Linked DNA regions of Arabidopsis thaliana. The protein of the gene in region 3 purifies or fractionates together with the protein of the main gene of each other region. This does not show direct contact. Each region holds a gene or a part of one and is shown on either strand. Other genes may lie near its edges.

Region 1 (7,231 bases), on a different chromosome or scaffold from region 3:
ATGTGAAAACACTTCCATGTGAAAGATTCTACCATCTTACTTATTGTTTGGTTTGATCTTACCACTAGTGATGATGTACAGCTAGCCAACGTACAGCCAGTGTTTCAAATCGGCTCGTTAGTTTTAGGGTTACATAGCGCCGAACTTTTTAGTTTTTTGAGAAAAATACTCAACTTCAGATGATTCAGTACCGATTCATATATGACCAATTTTCTTAGATTTGAGTCTGGTTAGACCAAATCCATTACACATTTACACCCCGTCGCTTTTTTTTGTTTTGTTGTTATAGATATGCCTGAAGTTGCTTTCTGAATGGCCACAAAACTGAAATGATCAGATCAAATATGAATGTTTATAAAACAAGATCAAAATCTGGATGGATCGATCCATAGAATCTCATGGCGTCATTTCCATGCCAATTGCCAAAACGAGCCCGGACTAAGTAACACCATTGTGACATTTATATTTATCAATAATGGTTATTTGTATTATGTGTTACTACTTACTACTAGTAAGTTACTAGATATCCAATCTCCGAAAATAAGTTCTATGTAGTTTTAAATGATGCATATATATATGCGAGACAAAAAATGTTGCATGTAAACAAAAAATGCTGATTATTGTGAAATATATTAATTATTTTTTTTATTTTTTTGTTATGAAGGTCATGTTAATTATTTTAAAGACTTTGTTTCAAATAAAATAAAAAATTAATTTTAAAAAATCATATATTTGGTATTACAAATTTTTTGAGGTAATAGTTGTAGTTGACTTTGTAAATAATTTACCAAAAAAAATTATGTTTGAAGTGTACTCTGCCCCAGTAAATAATATTTAGGGCCACCACTATCTATATTATTCAATAAATAAGCGCACATAAAATTCTAATAATTACTTTTTTCTTAAATCCATAATAATTAGTAAGCTAATTATCATTAATAATTATACGTAACAATAGTCTAAATGCATGGCTTTAATCACTATACCATGCACCAAACGACTAATTATTTCATGCGATATGAATCATTGAATACGAAAAATTACTGGAAGATTTCAAATCGACGAATACTAACTCAACAAACTCAACTAATAATGACCTTTAAACAGTTTGGATTATAAATTTATTACCCAATTCAAGAGATAAACAGTAAACCCAGTGACAAGTAGATATCTGAAATTTAAATTTTTTTGAACGGAATTGTTTTTTTAATTCATAGGAACAATTTTTTGGAACATCAATCAGCATATATATGGGTTTTTTTGGGGTCAAATTCAACAGCAAGCATGCATATGGTTTATAAACTTTATATATATGATTTTATTGTCAACCTTTTTTTTTTGGACAAACTGGTTTAATTGTCAACCTATAGATGATATTTCAAGAAAGACTGAATTCTATTTTGAGTTGACTGTATGAGTATGTATGAGTGTAAAAGTCAGCCATTTTGCAGAAACAAATATGCACATCGACGACGACCCTCATGATTTCATAGTTGGCCAGCTCAAGCCGTGTGTCAAATTATTACAAGTTACATTTATTATATTTTCGTTTATATATGCTTTAGAGAATGTAAGATGTAAATGGAAATGGGAGATATGATTGCATTTTGGTTTATATGTCTTCTTCGGAACAATAATACGAAATTATAGTAGTAATCATAAGATAAAGAAATTAATGAACAAAAATTTAAAAAGACTCATATTAAAATAAAGAGGGTAACAAAAGATAATGAAAATAACTCTCTAGATCTAAGCATGATGTGTCTATATACACCGACATTTTTTTCTTTTAATTAAGTGTATTGAAAATAAATTAAATAAGCCATGATTTTGATTTTGCAGTTTCGATTTTGATTTTGATTTTATTTAAAATGCTATATATGAGCCTGGTAACAGGAATGGTCGATGCAGTTTATTTCAATCTCAAGAGCTTACATGTGAAATACACAACTCAATAGCTTTCACTATTTCTTGAACGAAATTGACGAACAAGTAACAAAAAGAAAAATCGAACCGGAGAAGAAATCGTTGGTCTACCAATAACCGGAGTCTCCACGACAGTACAAAACCGACACCGTTTCTTAGTAATTTTATTCTTAAGATACAATATAATTTTATACTCGTATCCAAACAGTCCACACACAACCCCAAAACAAAAGTAAGAAAACTTGTAGACAAAAGTAAACAAAAGTAAACAAAAGTACGATAACAAAACTCTATACTCGTAGACAAACTTCACCGAACGTATTTAGCTAAAGAAAACTTGACCTCAAGATTTTCTTGTCTTCTTTAATCCAGGTGCTTGTAACTATGATTCCATATTACTAAAAACATGCATGTCTCCTTAGCAAAGAAAATCACAAGTAAGAAATGTATCATAATGATGAAAAATGCTATGAGACTGGTAACAAGAAATGGGTGATGAAAACAAATTCAATCTCAAGCAACAGTTCTCACTTAGAAGTGAGATCAGTTCAGGAGCTTTCACTATTTCTTAAATGAACTGAAGAACAAGTGAATACAAAAACAAAATCGAACCGGAGAAATGAAACTCTAAACAATGGAACCGGTGAATAAATCGTGGGTCTGCTGATAACCGGGATTTCCACGACAACACAAAACGACATCGTTTTATAAGATTCTTTATTATTAAACGTAACGAGGATAATTATAAACCCGGACAAATATCCACTAACAAATTCTATCCTCATATCCAAACAGTCCCTCAATTTCTCAAAACCCCAAACAAGTGTTCTTTTCTTATAGAGAGTAGTCTCCCAAGAAGCTGCAGAGACTTGCAAAAATCTCAGATTCAAACAATGGCAGAAGAAGCTAAAGCTAAAGGAAACGCTGCTTTCTCTTCCGGTGACTTCACCACGGCTATAAACCACTTCACCGAAGCCATAGCTCTTGCTCCAACCAATCACGTCCTCTTCTCAAACCGTTCCGCTGCTCACGCGTCGCTTCATCAATACGCCGAAGCTCTCTCCGATGCGAAAGAGACGATTAAACTCAAACCGTATTGGCCTAAAGGTTATAGCCGTCTCGGTGCTGCTCATTTAGGGTTAAACCAGTTTGAGTTAGCCGTCACTGCTTATAAGAAAGGTTTAGATGTCGATCCGACTAACGAGGCGTTGAAATCTGGATTGGCTGATGCGGAGGCGTCTGTTGCTAGGTCACGAGCTGCACCGAATCCGTTTGGTGATGCTTTTCAAGGACCGGAGATGTGGACGAAGCTTACGTCTGATCCTTCGACTAGAGGCTTTTTGCAGCAGCCGGATTTTGTTAACATGATGCAGGAGATTCAGAAGAATCCTAGCAGTCTTAATTTGTATTTGAAGGATCAGAGAGTGATGCAATCTCTTGGAGTTTTATTGAATGTTAAGTTTAGGCCACCGCCGCCTCAGGGAGATGAGGCTGAGGTTCCTGAGTCTGATATGGGTCAGAGTTCTAGTAATGAGCCTGAGGTTGAGAAGAAGAGAGAACCGGAGCCTGAACCGGAACCGGAGGTGACAGAGGAGAAGGAGAAGAAAGAGAGGAAGGAGAAAGCTAAAAAGGAGAAAGAGCTTGGGAATGCTGCGTATAAAAAGAAGGACTTTGAAACTGCTATTCAGCATTATTCTACTGCTATTGAGATTGATGATGAAGACATCTCGTACCTCACAAATCGTGCTGCTGTTTATCTTGAGATGGGAAAGGTATGATTTTCATATGTGTAATGCTCTTTTGTTTTGTCCCTTTATTTGCTGATAGGCTAGAAGCCTAGAATGATGATTTGCTTGTTATGTGCTACAATGGTGATTAGTTTTTAATGTCATTGTGTTTTGATTCAGTACAATGAGTGCATTGAGGATTGTAACAAGGCTGTGGAAAGGGGTAGAGAGCTTAGGTCAGATTACAAGATGGTAGCTAGAGCTTTGACTAGAAAAGGGACTGCTTTGACTAAGATGGCCAAATGCTCGAAAGACTATGAACCTGCCATTGAAGCTTTCCAGAAGGCTCTTACAGAGCACCGTAACCCTGATACGTTGAAGAGACTTAACGATGCGGAAAGAGCAAAGAAAGAGTGGGAACAGAAGCAATATTTCGATCCTAAGCTAGGGGATGAAGAGCGTGAAAAAGGTGATTGCTTTAGCAATTAGTCTCTTTTTTTTTTTTTGTGTGTGTGTGTGTGTGTGTGTGTGGGAAAAGAAAGCTTATAGAACCCTGAAAACAAGAATGAATTAGCGTTTTTACTGCTGCTGTTGTGGTGTATTTAATACAGGTAACGATTTCTTCAAGGAGCAGAAGTATCCTGAGGCCATAAAACATTACACCGAAGCAATCAAAAGGAACCCAAATGACCATAAAGTAAGGGCACTTCATCATATTTATATGTTCTTAAGGTCTTCTACAATGATTTTCTATTCCGACTGTTTGAGCAACTCGTACTTTTTTTGCACCTATGTTAGGCATATAGCAACCGAGCTGCTAGTTACACTAAGCTAGGTGCAATGCCTGAAGGACTAAAGGATGCAGAAAAGTGTATTGAGCTCGATCCAACCTTCTCTAAAGGATACAGCAGAAAAGCTGCAGTCCAATTCTTCCTCAAAGAGTACGACAATGCGATGGAAACATACCAAGCGGGTCTCGAGCATGATCCTAGTAATCAGGAACTTCTTGACGGTGTTAAAAGGTATATACACAGATACACAGAGATTATTAACTTTTCTATCTATTGCCATGAATTTGTTTAATGTGGTTCAAATCTATTCTGCAGATGTGTACAACAAATCAACAAGGCTAATCGCGGAGACCTTACTCCTGAGGAATTGAAAGAGAGACAGGTTAGTTACATTCTGATGATTCTCATGTTTTCTCCCCCCATTTGTGATTGAAAGAAAACCCGGGAAGCTAACTTGGATTTCTCCTTTTCTTTTGTGTAGGCAAAGGGAATGCAAGACCCAGAAATCCAGAACATCCTCACAGATCCTGTAATGAGACAGGTAAATAAACAAACTCTGTCGTAAATTGTGATTGTATGAGTATGATGCAATTTTTGTTTGAATCGAGTTTCTTATTACCAATGTTACTCTGTTGTGAGATGTCTAGATAGATCTAACTATGTTTTTACGTGTTGGTTCGAGTTTGCATGTGATAATACCTCTTAACATTCTAAAACCTTTCTTCCAAACAGGTACTGTCTGATCTTCAAGAGAATCCAAGCGCAGCACAGAAGCACATGCAAAATCCAATGGTTATGAACAAGATTCAAAAGCTTATTAGCGCTGGGATCGTCCAGATGAAATAAACTCAGAAGAGTTGAAACATCGAATATCCGTTTTGGCAGATTCATTTTTTCTCTTATATCTTTGCAATCTGCAACAATTCTAGATTTGTGACCGGCTGATTTCCCATGTTTACTGACGTTGTGTTCCGAACAAATTGCAATCATATTTTCTTCTGATATAACATTTACTGCGATCCTTAAAGTTATGTTGCTTTACATCTCTATACCATTTGGAGCATAAGAGAGCAAATGGCTAAATACACAACGACTTTGTCATTCACAAAATTTGAATCATTTCATTGCTTCAGCTCTACAAATTGCTACCGCACATAACTAACTTGCCATTCAGGTCCAAAGAACTTGAAAAAAGGTAAGAAACGGAGTCTTGTGGCTTCGTTGTCCCATTCAACCCTTTCAAGCCATTCTTCCTCTTGGTACTTAATGACAAGTTCTTCATCCCTTATGGCAATTTCAGAATCCAATGGAAGCTTTCTCAGCTCAGGACACTTCGTTATGTGAATTGTCTTCAGACATGGAAAAGACAGAGGTTGCCAGTAGATGCTCCTCAACATCGCTAGATTGTGTAGGCGTAGACTCTCTAGTTTCTGGAAAGGAATGATACCACTCATAGTCATAGCTTTCTCTTGGTTTATTATTCCTTCTACTAGTTCCGAGTCCAGAACCTCGAGACTAGTGAGGTTAGGAGCGAACAACAACCACGTCAAATCCTTCAGACCATCACAGCTACTTATATGCACAGTGGAGAGGTTATGGAGGAATTGAGTTTTGGGACTTCTGTTCGATGATAATGATAAAGTTTTCCTCTCTATCTTTATCTCACACATTCCACACTTCCTTATGATGACTTTATTGAGATTATCCATATCTGGCAAAGTCAATACTCCGGATGATTCTTCCTGAACTCCTCTAAGTACTAAGATTTGAAGACATTTCACCAACCTGGGAGCATTTAACAACTTCTCCACTACCAAGCTTGACTTGATACTTATGTTTAGAACTTCTAAATGTTCTAATAGCTGCAACTCCTCCACTAAGCTCATGTCTAGCGACATTTTAGACTGTAAAAGTTGCAATTTCCTCAAACTTGATATATTTGATATCCCTGAAATACTCTTAAGTCTCTTCATGTAATCCAATCTCAAATATCTGAGCTTTTTCAACTCTTGTAGACCGACAGGTAGCCGCTTAATGTATGTCCACGACAAGTCAAGATAACGCAAGGAGACTAACTTTGATATTTGGTTAGGCAATTTCCGGAGACTTGAATTCCCTGATAGATCCAAAACAACTAGCATTGGGATACACCGGAAGAATTCATCCGAGATATGTAGCAATGAATCATTTTTCTGAAGGAACAGAGTTGTAAGTTCCAGGCATTCGGGACTGCCAGATAAAATTTCAATCTCATTTTCCATCAGCGACATCCTTCTCACAGAACTCCAGTTCTTGACTTTCGGTACCTCACGTAATCCAACACCGACTTGCACAATACATCTTTCTTTATGTTCCCCAAGATCAGATGCAATCCATAGAGCCATCTCCCGAACCACATCATGCATTTTAACTTGTTCTTTATTGATAGCTTCCTCCAACAACAAACATGCTCGGACAAGGATACCAATGATCTCATAACCTTGGCTTAATGCTCTTTCTCTACTTTCATTTTCATCTATGAATCCCTCACATATCCAATAGTCTATCAACCTCTCTTTTTCCATACGATAATCTTCAGGAAACAGAGAGCAATATAGGAAACATGGTTTCACCTGCTCCTTGTTTAAATTATCATAGCTATACTTTAGAATAGGAAGAATTTGTTCCATACCAGGGAATTCTGCAGCATATGAGCTCAAAACGTCAATTGCGTTACGCCATTCTTGTACCATCCTTTTGCATGCCATGGTCTCGCCAATGACATTAAGTGCCAATGGTAGGCCACAA
Region 2 (8,675 bases), on a different chromosome or scaffold from region 3:
AAAAAGGACCCTGTAAGTTTTTTTTTTTTTGGTTATAGTTTAGACTATGTAACAGTGAGGTCATATTGGTGGTAAAGAATTGAAACTATCTTTTTGTCTTGAAGTCTATAGTGACATATGTGGATAACCTGTTGAGGTTGGAGAATAGCTCAATCGGAGAAGTTGTTGGCAGCGTGATTCTTATGATGGTAATGGAGAGGATGCTAGATTTAGATGTAAGTAGATGTTAATTTTTTATAAAAATGTAGCCACTAAGTAAAGTGGCAAGTGAATGATATGCTTGAGCATCTTTGTAGTTGGTAAGTGGATGTGATGACTCTAATGGAGGCATGTTTGATATGGAACTTGAAGATGCAGTTGAAAGCACTATGAATGAAGGAGACGAGGTAGGGTTAGTGTAATTTTTTGCTATCTTTGCAAAATCCCGAAACTTACTCTGTTTAGTAATGATCGAAAGTTACTTGATGACAAGATACCATTTTCTCTTGTTGTGAAATGTTAGACATGACCTCTGGTTTCCTGGAGAAGAATGTGTCATCATTCATAAATTTGATCTCTTTTTGCAGTTTCCAGTGGGGGCTCTAAAACAAAATACTTCAGGTGGAAATGTAGTCTCTGAACTGTTGGACAAATTGATGGTCCTATTTTTTCATCATCTAGAATCCTGTCAAAACTCTGATCGTTTGGATGAGGTATGGCACCAAATGGTACTTGTTCAACATATTTTTCCTTTCCTTTGTGGTAGATTCATTGATCTTTTGGTGTTTCTGTTTTTCATTTTGGCATAGGTATTTGAAATCCTCTTTAAGTCGTTCGAGAACTATATTCTGAACACATACAAAACAAAATTTTCACAGGTAGGCATCAAAGCTATCACCTTACATACTACAAAGTTTTCATTGTAGGCTTCTAGCATTAGTTCATTATCGGCATGTGATGTCTTGGCTTAGACTCACTCTACTTTCATCTGCAGTTTCTGATGTTCTATGCATGCTCACTAGATCCTGAAAATTGTGGTGTGAGATTTGCCAGTAAGCTGTTGGACATATATCTCTCCAGCAACACATGTCGACTTACTAGGCGAGTTTAATCTTGTCCTTCTTGGTAAAGATTTCTCTGCATGATATGAAGCTAATATTGTTCTAATCACCACTTGTGTATTCTTTTGTTTTCTCTTTATACTTAACAGGATGAGTGCAGTGGCTTATCTAGCTAGCTATTTGTCTCGTGGAAAGTTTTTGCCTGCTTCTTTTGTGGCTAGCATGTTGAAAAGGTACGTATTGCTAAAAAATGGAAAATGTAATTGTTTGATCTGATTTAAGTCTCGCTTTGTTGTAACATAGTTTCTCTTTTGCTGAAATCCTAGATTGGTGGACGAGTGTGCGGAATATTGCGGAACATGCAATGATGATGTGAAGCCAGAAGCACATCAAGTGTTCTATTCTGGATGTCAGGTATAGTCCAAGTTTAAGACCATCTTATGGCTTTTGATTCCTTAAGAACTCTTCTGTGAAATCATTGACGTCTCTAGTTATCAATCATTGTTAATGTTCACACCCTTACCAGAAGCTTATTGGCGTTTGGGATCATATGCTATTATGTCATGTATCGCTTAAAGTTGTTACTTTTCTATGACTGTAGGCAATCTTGTATGTGCTATGCTTCCGAATGAGATCCATAGTGGAGATTCCTCGCTTTCAATCGCAGTTTAGATCATTGGAGTCAATTTTATCTCACAAACTAAACCCACTACTGGTGGGTGACTTACACTAATCATTTTCTTCTCATAGCTCAACTGTTATTTTAAGTAGTCTTCACTCCAAGTATCAAATGCATTATGCTTGCACCATTCATTTTGTGTGAACAGGTGTGTCTTCCATCTGTAGTTTCCGAGTTCCTTAAACAAGCCAAAGCTGGTGGTCTGTTCATTGTCTCAGAATCCTTCATTTTCGATGACCTACACGAGTCTGAGCTCTCTCGTGCTTTTGGTGGCTTTGAAAGGCTTGACACATTCTTCCCGTTTGACCCGTGCTTGTTGAAAATGTCTAGCAGGTTTGCTATCTTTACTCTTGATTATTTTTTCTCTTCCAAAGTAAGGACAAATCAATGTGAGAATCTTACACAAGGTTCTTGACTCACTGGATGAATTTACCCGACCTGGGCATATTTGATACAAATTCTACTGCATACATCTTAATTACAGTCTTGAAATGACATTGAAAATTATTTTAATATGATAAAACAAGTGATGAATCAAAGTATTTGCATTGGATAGGCTTGAACTCTCTTTCTCACACGTGTTTTCTTGTCAATTCTTGAAGCTACATCTCCCCGAACTTCAACTTCTGGTCAATGGTGAAAACGACTTATGGAGAAGATGGTGACGAAGAGCTTTGTGATGAGGTCATAGTGAATGGAGATGCAGACAGTGCGGAGGAACCTGACGATGACGTTGAACTTGATAGTGAGATGAACACGATGTCTACAACTCCGAAACACTCTTTCATGCGAGAAACAGAGAGGCTCTTGAAGATGCCTTCAAGAATCAGACCATCCACTAGTCCTCCTGAATCCTTCTTAATCTAATAGTCATAGAGAGAGGGAATGCAATTTTGCAATGTAGGTTTCTTATTACAATCTCTTAGCTAGTGCGTAAACTCTAAAAAAAAGAAGTTGACATGAGTTTTGTGCGAGTCTGTGGTATTATCTGATCGCATGTGGTTTTGTAGCAAAATTTTGAAGAACATCTATGAAGTAAAATTTAGTCAGTTGGTTTATGATTACCTAATTTGAGTTTCGGTTTAATTTGGTTAAGTTGAAATGCTGAATGATTGATTTCTCGGTTTAGTGTTCAATATTGGGTTTACTTTGTCCACAAAATTGGTTAAAAATAGCTCTTTGTATTTTGGTAAATGTCCCGCAAATGGTTAAAAGTAAACCGGGAATTGACCCTCCGATTTAAACCGGTCCGTAAACCAGCTGAGCAATCTCTCTTTAACCTCGGCGTCGGCGTCTTGTAGCTTCTTCTGCTAGGCTTTGTTAATCAGCAAAAACCCTAGAATATCTTAGAGCTTCGCTTCACTTTCAAGCTCGAGACTTTGAGAAAGATGCCTCCGAAAGCCAAAGCTAAAGATGCAGGTCCCGTAGAGAGGCCTATTCTTGGCCGTTTCTCTTCTCACCTCAAGATCGGAATTGTAATTTTTCTCTTCATCTCTCTTTTAGAATCCAAGTTGATTAATTTCGAATGGTGAATGGTAGATTTGCTCATCGCAATACTTTCCTCGATAAAAGTTTTTTTTTTTTTTCTTCTTCTGAGTTTTGCCGGGAGAGATCTATTAACTCATCAGTGATGCATGATGATATTGTTTGTTTCGTTGTGTTTGTCACTGTACTCTTTTAGATGTTTAATCCATATTTAAGAAACTGCTTCTTTGATACAGTGATTAAGGTTGATTGTTCATGGTTGATATGATGATATGGAGAAGTATTGATGTTATTCACTATGGGAATTGTTTGTGGCATCGCAGGTTGGGTTACCAAATGTTGGAAAATCTACTCTTTTCAACACTCTTACAAAGCTTTCAATTCCAGCTGAGAATTTCCCCTTTTGTACCATTGAGCCTAATGAGGCACGTGTGAATATCCCCGATGAGAGGTTCGATTGGCTTTGCCAAACTTACAAGCCTAAGAGTGAGGTAAGTTTGTAACTTTATTTCATGACTTGCTGTTAAGGAAGAGATTACTACTATCTGAATTACTTTATGAATGGGCTGACTTCTGTCTGTTTTGATGCCTCAGATTCCAGCTTTCTTGGAAATTCATGACATTGCTGGGCTTGTTAGAGGAGCTCATGAAGGACAGGGTCTTGGAAACAACTTCTTGTCCCATATTCGTGCAGTTGATGGAATTTTCCATGTTTTACGTATGGTTTTTCCCTCTCGCTTTTTCTCCTAGTGCCAGCTTTGTTTTAGTGTGATGCGTGATTTGATGAATAATTTAGACTGTACTGCTACTTGTGCTGTCTTGAATTTCTACTTGAGCAGGCTTTTCAATGAGAGACAGGTTAAAAACCTTTATATATTTTTCTTCCCATTTGATACCTATAGGGCCATTGCGATAGTTAGTTTATGTTTTCCTCTCCAAGCATATCTGTTCTTGAACAACGGGGATGTTTCTTTAATAGTTGCTGATAGTAAGATATCTTGCCAGTTATATAGTGGTTAGTGACTTTTCGATTGAACATATGCAGGTGCTTTTGAAGATGCTGATATTATCCATGTCGACGATATCGTGGATCCTGTTAGAGATTTGGAGACCATTACTGAAGAGTTGCGGCTAAAGGTGAATCAAATCTCTAAACAGATATTTGACTGCTATATCTCCAAACTCGTGAAATCCTTTCTGTGTATATTAATACAGTAGTCTGTTTTTTGTATTAGTTGGATCTTCATTTCATCCATTGTTGTTTTGGTTTCAAACTGAATTCTTTGGTGCAACTTTAGGATATTGAATTTGTTGGAAAGAAGATTGATGATGTCGAGAAGAGCATGAAGAGGAGCAATGACAAGCAGCTGAAAATAGAACTTGAGCTCTTGCAAAAGGTATGCTATAATTTGACAACCATGCAGTCTTGTTCTGCAAATGTTATTGCTCATTAATTATTAATTGGCCGAAAAAATGACTGTACCTCTCTGGTTTAGGTAAAAGCTTGGCTAGAAGATGGTAAGGATGTCCGTTTTGGGGACTGGAAAACAGCTGATATCGAGATTTTGAACACTTTCCAATTGCTTTCTGCAAAGCCCGTTGTTTACTTGGTGAGTAGTCTTGAATGTTCATCTCTTTCTGTTACCATTGTTTCTATCAAGATAAATGCATTTGCTTCTTTCATATCTATAGTCGACAATTTTGTTCCCTCAATTTTTTTCGGGTCAGTTTGCAAAATGTAGGTCATACTGTCTATTTTTGTGACACTATTTGCCCCCAAATTTAACCATAGTGTGTTCCTTAGCTATTTCTGATCTCTATGCTTTCATGTTTGTTTCAACTATGTGTTTCATCTCAGTGTAAGAACTATTAAGGCATCTTGGTTGGACTTTTTGTGATCACTGGTTACTCTGAAATTTAAATTACAGATTAACCTGAATGAGAGAGACTATCAGAGGAAGAAAAACAAGTTCTTGCCAAAGATTCATGCCTGGTACTAATATATATCCTTTCACAAACTATGTTGAATAATAAGTAAAACATTTTGCCCCTTGGTTGTTGCAAAAGTTTCTAATATGGCTACGTGCTTACACATTTACTTACCTTATTATACTTCTCCTAAACTAAAAATATCTGTTTCATCATTATGTAGGGTTCAAGAACACGGTGGTGATACTATGATTCCTTTCAGTGGTGTGTTTGAAAGGAGTCTCGCTGATATGGCCCCAGATGAAGCAGCAAAGTATTGTGAGGAGAACAAACTGCAAAGGTTAGGAATAAAAGAACAGCACCTTGCGAATGAATAGTTGCTCCTGAAGATGATTTTTCTTTATGAATCTGTTAAATTGAATCTTATGGCCATTGCTGCTTTGACAGTGCTCTTCCGAGGATCATCAAAACTGGATTTTCAGCAATTAACCTCATATACTTCTTTACAGCAGGGCCTGATGAGGTATTAACAGTCCCACTTTACTTGGCTTCACTACACGCTTTAGTCTCTAGTTCTCTGTGAAATTCTTCTAAGCATAATTGTTCTGTAATGAGCTATTTGGTAGTGCATGATCAGTGTTATGTGTCAAGTAGTGCATTGTTACTGGAATTTGATGGTTTATAAAATACATCCATCAATGATACTTTGATTTGCAGGTGAAGTGCTGGCAAATAAGACGGCAGTCAAAGGCTCCTCAAGCTGCAGGGGCCATTCATACTGATTTTGAGAGAGGATTTATTTGTGCTGAGGTACCATTTTCTCATTTCTCTTGAATCTTGGTCAATTCACTAGTTTATTCCTACCTAAAATTTACATGCGTAAAGCCTTTCCCCTCCAGATTTTGATGATTTGTTCTGTTATAGAGTTTATATAATCTTTCTTATGTTTTCACTGACAAAAACAAATGCTTGCTTGCATATTCTTATATTCATCTTGGTGTTGATTTCCTAGTATCGATGCAGGCCTGTAGATATCAAAGCAGAATCCTAATGCAAACCATATCTAATCAAATATTTTTCTGTTTTGAAATTCAATGTGATTTATTCCAATGTTGTTGTTGATGTCACAGGTCATGAAATTCGAGGATCTCAAGGAACTTGGCAATGAACCTGCAGTCAAGGTATTTGTCTATAACTTCTTTTCCTTCTACAATCTCTTAAGGTCTCGGTGGAGTAAGTAGCCTCTAAAAACAGACATGAAAATGTTAAGGAAGCTCTCCACTGTGCAAGATATCCTCGTTGAAGAGGCATGATTATATTTATAATGTTCATGGCGATGACACTTGGTCTAATTTATAATCCCTTCAACTAATGCAGGCCGCAGGAAAATACAGACAGGAGGGTAAAACATATGTTGTTCAGGATGGAGATATCATTTTCTTCAAGTTCAATGTTTCCGGTGGTGGGAAGAAATGAGATCCATCCGTCTGTCCACCTATCCGCGGTGTCCTCTCTGGATCTTGAAGCTCTATCCATTTCCGAGAAAGGAACCAAGCTGTATTTTCCGTTTTTGAGTGGCTTTACCAAACAAGTATTTGTAACTCTTTACATTTTGCAGTTAGCTAAGACATGTCTTTGCCTTTAGACAGAGCATTAAGCCTGCTGTATCGTTTAGAACTCTTTCAATAAGTTTTTCTCTACTATTTGGAAAGAACCTTGAGTAATTGTGCGTGAGAATGAGTTGAAGAAACCCAGCAAACAACTTCTGGTGCACTTATTAGCGAAGGAAACAAATGGAAAGAATGATTAAACGAATACCTTAAGGAAATTATATTTGCAGTGTATATTACAAGCTCTATTACAAAAGAGCTTCTGGATAGATCACAATCAATTATAACAAAAGAACAAAAGAATTATTTTGGGACTGGCCAATCCAATTGCTTCCTCTAAGCCGAATTGTGAAGAGCAGATCCTGTTTGGCTCTGCTCAGTTTCTGAGGAATCTTGATTGGAACAAGCTGGAAGAGTAAAGCTCTCTGGTGCTTCTTCTACCGCTTGGCTGCTCGAAAACGAGTTTTCTCCATTCTGTTTGCGAAGCCAAGCTTCATGAATCTGCAAAACATACTCCAAGCTCCATAACACTTCTCCCATCATTGGCCTGTTCTTCCCTTCATCCGCTAAGCACTTCTCTGCTATCTCCCCATACTTCTCCAACGATTCAGGACTGTAGTTTCCCCTCAGATTTGAGTCGATGATGGACTCGAGGTTTCTCTGTTTTTGCCAGCTTAAAGCCCATTCCGCAAGGTTGATCTGGTCTTTAGGCAAAGTTGGGTTTATAACAGCTCGAGCACAAACAGCTTCGAACAACACAACACCAAAAGAGTAAACATCTGACTTCTCTGTTAACTGTTGCCTTCTAAAGTATTCAGGATCAAGATAACCAAAACTTCCTTTCACAGCTGTACTCACATGAGTATGGTCCATGGACGGTCCAGCTTTCGACAGCCCAAAATCAGACATCTTTGCCACAAAGTTCTCGTCTAATAGTATGTTTGTTGTTTTGACATCTCTGTGAATGATTCCTCTCTCTGACCCTGTGTGAAGGTAATGCAATCCTCTCGCAGAGCCTATACAAGCTTCAAGCCGTTGCTTCCATGATAATGGCGGAAGGTTGCTTCCAAAGAGATGACTCCTGAGAGTTCCATTTGCCATGTATTCATAAACCAAGATCATCTCATTGTGCTCATCGCAGAACCCGATCAAAGACACAAGATGCCTATGCCTAAGTCTTGAGAGCATCACGATCTCGGTTTCGAATTCAGCAAGCCCTTGCTGAGAATGTGGGGTGGCTCGTTTTATAGCTATGAGTGTTCCATCTTCAAGCTCTCCTCTGTAAACCTTACCAAACCCTCCAACTCCAATAGCTAAACCATCATCAAAGTTCTTAGTTGCTGCACGAATCTCGGCTAGTGTAAACTTCCTTCCCATTGTAGATGCTGCAAGAGTGTTCAGTCTCAGCGAGCCTCCCGTTGCTTTGGCGTTTGCAGTACTGTTATTGACATGCAAAAACAACGGACGCCACCCGGGAGGATTGTTTTTCGACTCATCTGATTTGCTTCGCCTTTTCTTGCATAAACATACTACCAAGATTCCCAAGAACACGAAAAAAATGATAATTGCTATACCAGCACCAACACTGATCCAAATAATCCGCATCTTCGAGTCACTTACCGAGTGACCAGTCGAATCAAACCTGATGAGATGAGCAAGATTCCCATTTTTGCTGAGCTTGAAAATCTCAAGACCACTCAGAAGAGCGTCTCCAGAAGCACCAACAGATGAGTCAGGTCCAAGTTGAATCCAGAGAACGTCGTTCTTAGAGGAGACCGGATCCAAGTAATCTTGATATATACCTTTGTTCTTCCCGCCCGCGTGAGCAAATATATCGAAATTACCAGCAGCCGTCTGGTTGTTTATGTATATCCTGAAAATCCTCTGGTTTTGCTTATCAACAAGAAGCTCACAGAAATGAAGCCTAACCAA
Region 3 (7,405 bases):
ACACTTGTGGACTTTGCCCTAAACAGAATTTTGAAATCATTTTTGGGTCAAAACTCGAAAAAATGTGTAGATAGTTTTATTGTGGTGCTTGTTGTTGGGTAAAACTACGAAGACATATTTTTATTTTATTTTCATCCAAAAGCCAAAAACACATAAGGATTTGTTTTAGTACGTATTATTATTATTATTTTTTATTTTTTTCTGTATGGGAGTTAATTGTTGAATACTTCCAACTCTCTAATGAAGTAATTGCATTTAAGTTTCTTATTCTTTTCTTGTATTCTTATTTCATAAAGAATGTCATTTTAAAATTTTAATTTTGTTTTATAAAAATTATTGTTTTTTATTTTCAATGCAGTTGTAAAGATCAAATATCTTTTTTTTATCTCTACTATTTAAACTAATTAATGAAAAAAAGAGAGTATTATTTAGTATATTAATAGCAGGTACAAATGAAATTTGTTTGCTTTCCTTAATTTGCGTGAAAATAATAGAATGACATTCTTTGTGAAACATATAAATATTGAAAGTTTTGTAAAATTTGATTTTCATAGCCATTTCCAACTTGATGGAAAAAGTACATTACTTTCTAAATTTATGTGAAAAATGGTAAAATGACACTCTTTGTAAAAACATATAGAATTTCGAAAGTTTTGTTACGTTTGATTTTCACAGCCATTTTTCAACTTGGTGAAAAAGACAAGACACGAGTAAGCCAACTTTCTCGATCAAGCCGATTTGTTTTTTACAAATGTCATTCTTTTTCAATAAAAAGCATTCAAGATTATTAAAGTAATATTCATTGGGCTACTTCCAGAATATGCTCATATAAAATCCATCAGAATCCAGTCCAATTACACCAATCTGATCAAAAATCCGATCAAAACCGAGGGACATAGAGACCAGAAAACCCGATTGAACCCGTCTTTCAAAGAAGCATCGATTGAAACTTTATTATATACCAGAAACGATCCGTTAAGAATATAGAAACCTAACCATACCATCAATGCGATGTTTTGTTTAGTGTAAAACCGAATAATTGTGTATCCATATGAATTATATATATATATATATATATAAAATTATAACAAATTTATGATCGACTGTATATAAAAATACAATATTTAAATGGCAATGCAAACGGCAAGGAATTATATTATTTGCGTAGACAATTTTATATAATTAAAATTGTAAGAAATTTATGATCGAATGTATATAAAAACAATATTTCAAGGGCAATGCAAACGGCAAGAAGTTATATTATTTGCGTAGAGATTTTCTGTCTTTGCGATAACATGTTTAATAGATCTTTAAGTCTATGACAACTCGTCATATTGATCATAGAAGAATAAATAATTACAACTGGCTAGGGGTAACATGTATAACACTCTATCTTTTGTCAACTCACTCACTATATACATATATACTCTTCTCTCCTCCTAACGCAGAGGCACAAGGGCAATAAGAAAAGAGAGAGATAGATAAATGACGATGATGGCTCTGCTCTTGAACTCGACGATGACTGTGGCTATGAAGCAGAATCCCGCGACCGCGGTATCTTTTATGCAGACTACTTGTTTGGGATCTAGTTTTTCTCCTCCTCGTCATCTTCAAGTTTCGTGTGTTGCCACTAACCCGAGGCGAGTTTTTTTCTTTTTAGATCTTCAATTCTTCGCGTTGATCTCAATGTATTGTTAATAACTTTTTCACTCATTGGGTTTTATATACTTGCATATTAACATATGTTCTATAAATTACAATAAGACACGAACCTGATCAAAATAACAGTGTTCTTAATTAACGATGAAAATGTTACAGCAAGACGTTTCGACCCATCAAAGAAGTATCAAACCAAGTGACACACACAATAACACAAGAGAAACTGGAGATCTTCAAATCAATGGAGAATTGGGCCCAAGAAAACTTATTATCTTACCTCAAACCCGTCGAAACTTCATGGCAACCACAAGACTTTTTGCCAGAAACCAAAGACGAAGACCGATTCTACGAACAAGTGAAAGAGCTAAGAGATCGAACAAAAGAGATCCCTGACGATTACTTTGTAGTTCTTGTCGGAGATATGATCACCGAAGAAGCATTACCGACTTATCAAACGGTTATGAACACTCTCGACGGAGCCAAAGACGAGACCGGTGTTAGTCTAACACCGTGGGCGGTTTGGCTTAGAGCATGGACGGCGGAGGAAAATCGACACGGTGATTTGTTGAATAAGTACCTTTACTTATCAGGTCGTGTTGATACGCGACATGTTGAAAAGACTATTCAATATCTTATCGGATCCGGCATGGTACGTTCTTTTTGGTATTGGCCAAATTGTTACACTCCCATAAATATAGGTGTGCTCAAAATGTAAATTATAATTTCTTTGGGACCATATTGACAAGTTTATAATTATTTTTCAGGACACCAAATATGAGAACAATCCCTACAACGGCTACATCTACACTTCTTTTCAAGAGAGAGCAACTTTTATCTCCCACGCCAACACGGCGAAGCTAGCCACGACATACGGCGACACAACTCTCGCCAAAATCTGTGGAACAATCGCGGCGGATGAGAAGCGGCACGAGATGGCGTATACGCGGATCGTCGAGAAGCTATTCGAGATTGATCCCGATGGTACCGTACAAGCTCTAGCGAGTATGATGAGGAAGCGAATCACGATGCCGGCTCAGCTGATGCACGACGGTCGCGATGACAATCTGTTCGATCATTACGCTGCTGTGGCGCAGAGAATCGGAGTGTATACCGCGACGGATTACGCAGGGATTTTGGAGTTTTTGTTGCGGCGGTGGGAGGTGGAGAAGTTAGGGATGGGTTTGTCCGGTGAAGGAAGGAGAGCACAGGATTATCTGTGTACCTTGCCGCAGAGGATCAGGAGGTTAGAGGAAAGAGCTGACGATAGAGTCAAACGTGCGTCAAAGTCTAAACCTTCTGTTTCGTTCAGCTGGATTTACGGGAGAGAAGTTGAACTCTAAACGACAATGGTTGTTGCGTTTCACTGTATTAGACTCTTAAACGTTATGGGCCTTACTAATGTAATATGGGAAGTAAATGTAATAAAGAAACGCTAAAAGATCTTGCGTTTTAGTGAAACACTGGGTTATAACTACCATATGGCCCATGGGCTTGAAAATTAAGCAAAGAAAATATCTGAGTGGCATAGACGTAATTAAAAGAGTAGCTGAGGGATATTGTAGAGAAGAAAAAAGTTGTATATTAATGTCCCCTTGGCTCGATCATCACGCCCAAAGTTTCTTCTTCACCTTGTCTCTTTTCACAGTCTCACACAGCATAGAAATAATCGAAAGATTTCTTTTTAAAATCTGGGATTTGTTTTTTTTGTTCATTGATCATTTTCGATTGTTAGAGAAGAATCAAATGGCGATGGCTATGGATCGGATCGTCTTCTCCCCTTCATCTTACGTCTATCGTCCTTGTCAAGCTAGGGGATCCAGATCTTCCAGAGTTTCCATGGCTTCTACGATTCGCTCTGCGACTACGTGAGTTTTAATCTCTCTATTTCCAATTCGTGAGCTTATTTTTCTTTAATGCTTTGAATTTGTTCTGATCTGGAGTTTGGTTTGAGTATCGATGATAAACCTCTGGGCTTTGGTTGATCCAGTTTCTTATTTTCATCAATTTGATTCCCAATGCACTCTCATTGTGTGTAGTTACGAGTTATATGATCACATGTATTAGTTTCTGGTTTGTGAAATGAGGAATTTGCTTCATTTGTGTTTAAAAAATCTTTCATTTTTACTGGTTTTCTGATTTATCTGGGAGATTTCTTTAGATCAAAGAATCTTGATTTTTTTTATTTTTTATTTATTTGAAAAGCTATCCTTACATGCAAAGGACAATCTTTGTCTCTATGTTAAATTTTGATAATCTCTTCAACTTTCCCAAACGCATGCATGAATTGTTTTGTGTTTATGACTTTCTTTTTACTTGGTTGTTGACCCATAAGACTACTATGCTAAATCATTACTTCGTTCATTTATTCTCTTGTTTGATTATTATGTTAAGAAAGCTTGTTGGTGTAGTAGCTGCTTAGACTTTTTCTAAAGCTTTATTTGGTTTTAATTACAGAGAGGTTACGAATGGAAGGAAACTGTATATCCCTCCCAGAGAGGTGCATGTCCAAGTCAAACATTCAATGCCGCCACAAAAGTTAGAGATCTTTAAGTCTTTAGAAGGATGGGCTGATGAAACCCTGTTGACTTATTTAAAACCTGTTGAGAAATCGTGGCAGCCTACCGATTTTCTTCCCGAACCTGAGTCGGAAGGATTCTATGACCAAGTCAAGGAGCTAAGGGAAAGGTGCAAGGAACTTCCTGATGACTATTTTGTGGTGCTTGTTGGGGATATGATCACTGAAGAAGCACTTCCTACTTACCAGACCATGTTGAACACATTGGATGGTGTTAGGGATGAGACAGGAGCTAGTCCTACTCCTTGGGCTATATGGACCAGGGCTTGGACTGCTGAGGAGAATAGACATGGGGATCTCCTTAACAAGTATCTTTATCTGTCTGGTCGGGTAGACATGAGGCAGATTGAAAAGACTATTCAGTACCTGATTGGTTCTGGAATGGTAAGCTCTGCTAACTTTCTTTTTTGCTTTAACCCATAATCTCCTAAAGTTGCATTTGCGCTTTAGGAAGTGACTGGGGATGGGGATACAATCGTTACATGCTTGTTTGAATTGATTGTTAAAATTCCATAGGTAGGGGAACAGAAGAGGAATAAGTTGGAACCATTTATCAGTTTTACTTTTTTGGAACTTATCTTGTCATTTCTTAGTATGGCTTATATTGACTTCACAATGACTATCTGCAAATCTTCATGTTAGCAACATACGCATTTTTTATGTTTCAAGTTCTGAAGATAGAATTGGAGTGCTGCTTAGCTGCCACATTAATCACTTTACGGATTTCCATTGTGTAAAGTTTGTATTCCTAATATTCAATGTAAGATTGATCGATTTGTCTTATGTCCTTAGGATCCAAAAACTGAAAACAACCCTTACTTGGGTTTCATCTACACATCATTTCAAGAAAGAGCGACCTTCATCTCCCATGGAAACACTGCCAGACTGGCGAAAGATCGTGGAGATTTGAAACTTGCGCAGATATGCGGGACCATTGCTGCTGATGAGAGGCGTCATGAGACTGCTTACACCAAGATTGTAGAGAAGCTCTTTGAAATTGACCCTGATGGCACGATCTTGGGCCTGGCTGATATGATGAAGAAAAAGATATCAATGCCTGCACATTTAATGTATGATGGCCAAGATGATAACCTGTTTGAGCACTTCTCAACCGTTGCCCAGAGGCTCGGTGTCTACACTGCCAAGGACTATGCTGATATTCTGGAGTTTCTTGTTGAACGGTGGAATGTGGAGACTTTGACAGACCTTTCTAGTGAAGGACACAGGGCCCAGGTAAATTACCTCCATGAAACTTCTTGTGATGAAACCTCCAAGTTTATGAATACTTATAACAATCTTGTAGTAGTTTTTGGTCATGAATACTATATTAGATATACTGTTTTGTGTTTTTGATGATCTGATCGGGACCTAAACTTGAATTCTGACTCTATCATTTCCTTTGACAGGACTTTGTCTGCGGACTACCTGCAAGAATCCGTAAAATTGAAGAGAGAGCTCAAGGAAGAGCCAAAGAAGCTGCCAAAAACATACCATTCAGCTGGATATTTGGTCGAAATATCAGGGCTTAAGAAGTTTACTACACAATTCTCTTTCCAATTATCCCAAGTAAGTCATAAAGGTCTTCACCAACCATTTCACCAATGAAGGACCAGTTTTTAAGACCACGAAAGTTCATTTGAATGTGTTTTGTTTTATACGGAACATTGTAGATAAAGTTATGTGGTTAGGTTATGTTTCTTGTTTGAATCAGTCAAGACCAAAGAAAATGTGTTTGAGTGTTCTTAGATATTGTATGGTTTACCAAGAACAAGACTTAAGATTTTCCTTTACCTTTTTGATTCTCTTTTTGTTGTATCAGTCTAAAGAATGTTCTCTCTTAAATAAAGAGTGGTTTGGCAATAATGTTCTAGAGAACTTGGGTACACATATTCCTTGAATATCATCAATTAAAATTTTCTTATGCAAGACATATAGAATCATCAACAAAGTAATCAACCAATTCAATTCTTCAATACATATAAACCAAACCCTGAAACACAGATCAAACTAACATTTGATACAACCTCTCTTCTCTTAAACAAAATCATTACAAGAAGTGAATTTTTCTTCAAACTTGGAACGCCCATGGGGAATTTTTGAGAGTCTCTTCACTCTGAACCTTACCAGTCCTTTTCATAGCAACTCCATTGTTATCACCATCGACATAAGCGTAGTACTTCAAGAAAAAGGCGAGAACAAGAACGATCCACTCAAGGCAAAAGATTACAACACAGAGCCCACCAGCTAGTTTCAAGATCATAGACGCTTCTTTCTCACGGACGTAAGAGTTAAGGCTCTCGAGGAAATTCGAAGTGTTGGTAAAGATGAGAACAGAGACTGAGCCTTGGAAAATGGCGGTAAGGACAGTTGCGATCATGTGAGCTGCGTACCACCGGTTCTTACCATAAGATGCGGCTGCACAGCCTGAGACGGCGGCTGCGATCGTGGTGGCGTGAAGGAGGATGAGGAAGAAACCGCAGAGTGAAGGGATTAGACGGAGAGAGAGAGTGAGGAAGATGCAGCTTGACGATGCACCGAGGAGGACGTAGTTTGCAGTGAGGAAGAGTTTATGTGTGTAGTAATGAGATTCTTGGATCGATTCTTGTGGTTGAGGAATTAAACCCATGACGATGTTGGAGGTTTCTGATTCGGGTTGCAGAAAATTTTGGATTTTGAGATTGCGAAGAAGAAAGGAAGATAGCTTGCGAATTGTGATTGGGTGAGTTATGAATTTGGGTTTATGTAGAGAGCGATTTAAACGGTCTGATTTTCCAAATATGACCGTTGAGGCTTTACAGAAGTGAAGGACAGATCACCGACAGAGTGAGTTGTTGTTGTGTGTGTAACGGCTAGTGTTTTTTGCTATTCCTTTGTTCCAGAACAAGACTGGCAAGCCCAATGGGCCAAGTTGGGTTCTTGTTTGTCCGAGACAAGGATATTTTTATCCTGAACACGGATATGTTATCCTTACGAAGCAAATATAAGTTTATGTCTTGTGTGTTTTCGTCTGCTTAAATTGAACCGACTCATTCCAACCGAACTAATTATTTGATGAACAAAAAAAACGAATTGTGAATCTTTAATTCGGTTCACACAGTTTATTCAAGATGAAACTTGAAGGCCGTTTCAATACCATTGAAACAGAGTAAAGTCTTGATGAAACCATAACTG

The links. Proteins that work in one complex are often made in the same cells at the same time.
Region 1: the proteins of AT3G02630 (region 3) and Hop1 fractionate together in Arabidopsis thaliana (co-fractionation; one large-scale study listed by BioGRID). This does not show direct contact.
Region 2: the proteins of AT3G02630 (region 3) and AT1G30580 fractionate together in Arabidopsis thaliana (co-fractionation; one large-scale study listed by BioGRID). This does not show direct contact.

Annotation. Positions count from the first base shown.
Region 1 is NC_003070.9:4,169,286-4,176,516, forward strand, and holds Hop1 (stress-inducible protein), read left to right. Parts: upstream 1-2,749; 5' UTR 2,750-2,819; coding exon 2,820-3,698; intron 3,699-3,833; coding exon 3,834-4,122; intron 4,123-4,264; coding exon 4,265-4,350; intron 4,351-4,451; coding exon 4,452-4,675; intron 4,676-4,759; coding exon 4,760-4,826; intron 4,827-4,925; coding exon 4,926-4,985; intron 4,986-5,176; coding exon 5,177-5,290; 3' UTR 5,291-5,445; downstream 5,446-7,231. Other genes in the region: SUMM2 (LRR and NB-ARC domains-containing disease resistance protein), read right to left, coding at 5,590-7,231. UniProt on the Arabidopsis thaliana protein: Mediates the association of the molecular chaperones HSP70 and HSP90. Mediates nuclear encoded chloroplast preproteins binding to HSP90 prior to chloroplastic sorting.
Region 2 is NC_003070.9:10,829,887-10,838,561, reverse strand, and holds AT1G30580 (GTP binding protein), read left to right. Parts: upstream 1-2,926; 5' UTR 2,927-3,107; coding exon 3,108-3,194; intron 3,195-3,527; coding exon 3,528-3,695; intron 3,696-3,798; coding exon 3,799-3,922; intron 3,923-4,249; coding exon 4,250-4,341; intron 4,342-4,502; coding exon 4,503-4,601; intron 4,602-4,700; coding exon 4,701-4,814; intron 4,815-5,132; coding exon 5,133-5,197; intron 5,198-5,356; coding exon 5,357-5,473; intron 5,474-5,580; coding exon 5,581-5,656; intron 5,657-5,850; coding exon 5,851-5,943; intron 5,944-6,263; coding exon 6,264-6,314; intron 6,315-6,510; coding exon 6,511-6,609; 3' UTR 6,610-6,889; downstream 6,890-8,675. Other genes in the region: AT1G30590 (RNA polymerase I specific transcription initiation factor RRN3 protein), read left to right, coding at 1-12, 105-215, 297-386, 567-692, 789-857, 974-1,080, 1,190-1,273, 1,367-1,454 and 3 more; HERK2 (hercules receptor kinase 2), read right to left, coding at 7,080-8,675. UniProt on the Arabidopsis thaliana protein: Hydrolyzes ATP, and can also hydrolyze GTP with lower efficiency. Has lower affinity for GTP. Exhibits GTPase activity.
Region 3 is NC_003074.8:558,762-566,166, forward strand, and holds AT3G02630 (Plant stearoyl-acyl-carrier-protein desaturase family protein), read left to right. Parts: upstream 1-3,268; 5' UTR 3,269-3,402; coding exon 3,403-3,524; intron 3,525-4,113; coding exon 4,114-4,618; intron 4,619-5,026; coding exon 5,027-5,467; intron 5,468-5,640; coding exon 5,641-5,763; 3' UTR 5,764-6,109; downstream 6,110-7,405. Other genes in the region: AT3G02620 (Plant stearoyl-acyl-carrier-protein desaturase family protein), read left to right, coding at 1,486-1,640, 1,819-2,308, 2,424-2,999; AT3G02640 (uncharacterized protein), read right to left, coding at 6,303-6,860. UniProt on the Arabidopsis thaliana protein: Converts stearoyl-ACP to oleoyl-ACP by introduction of a cis double bond between carbons 9 and 10 of the acyl chain.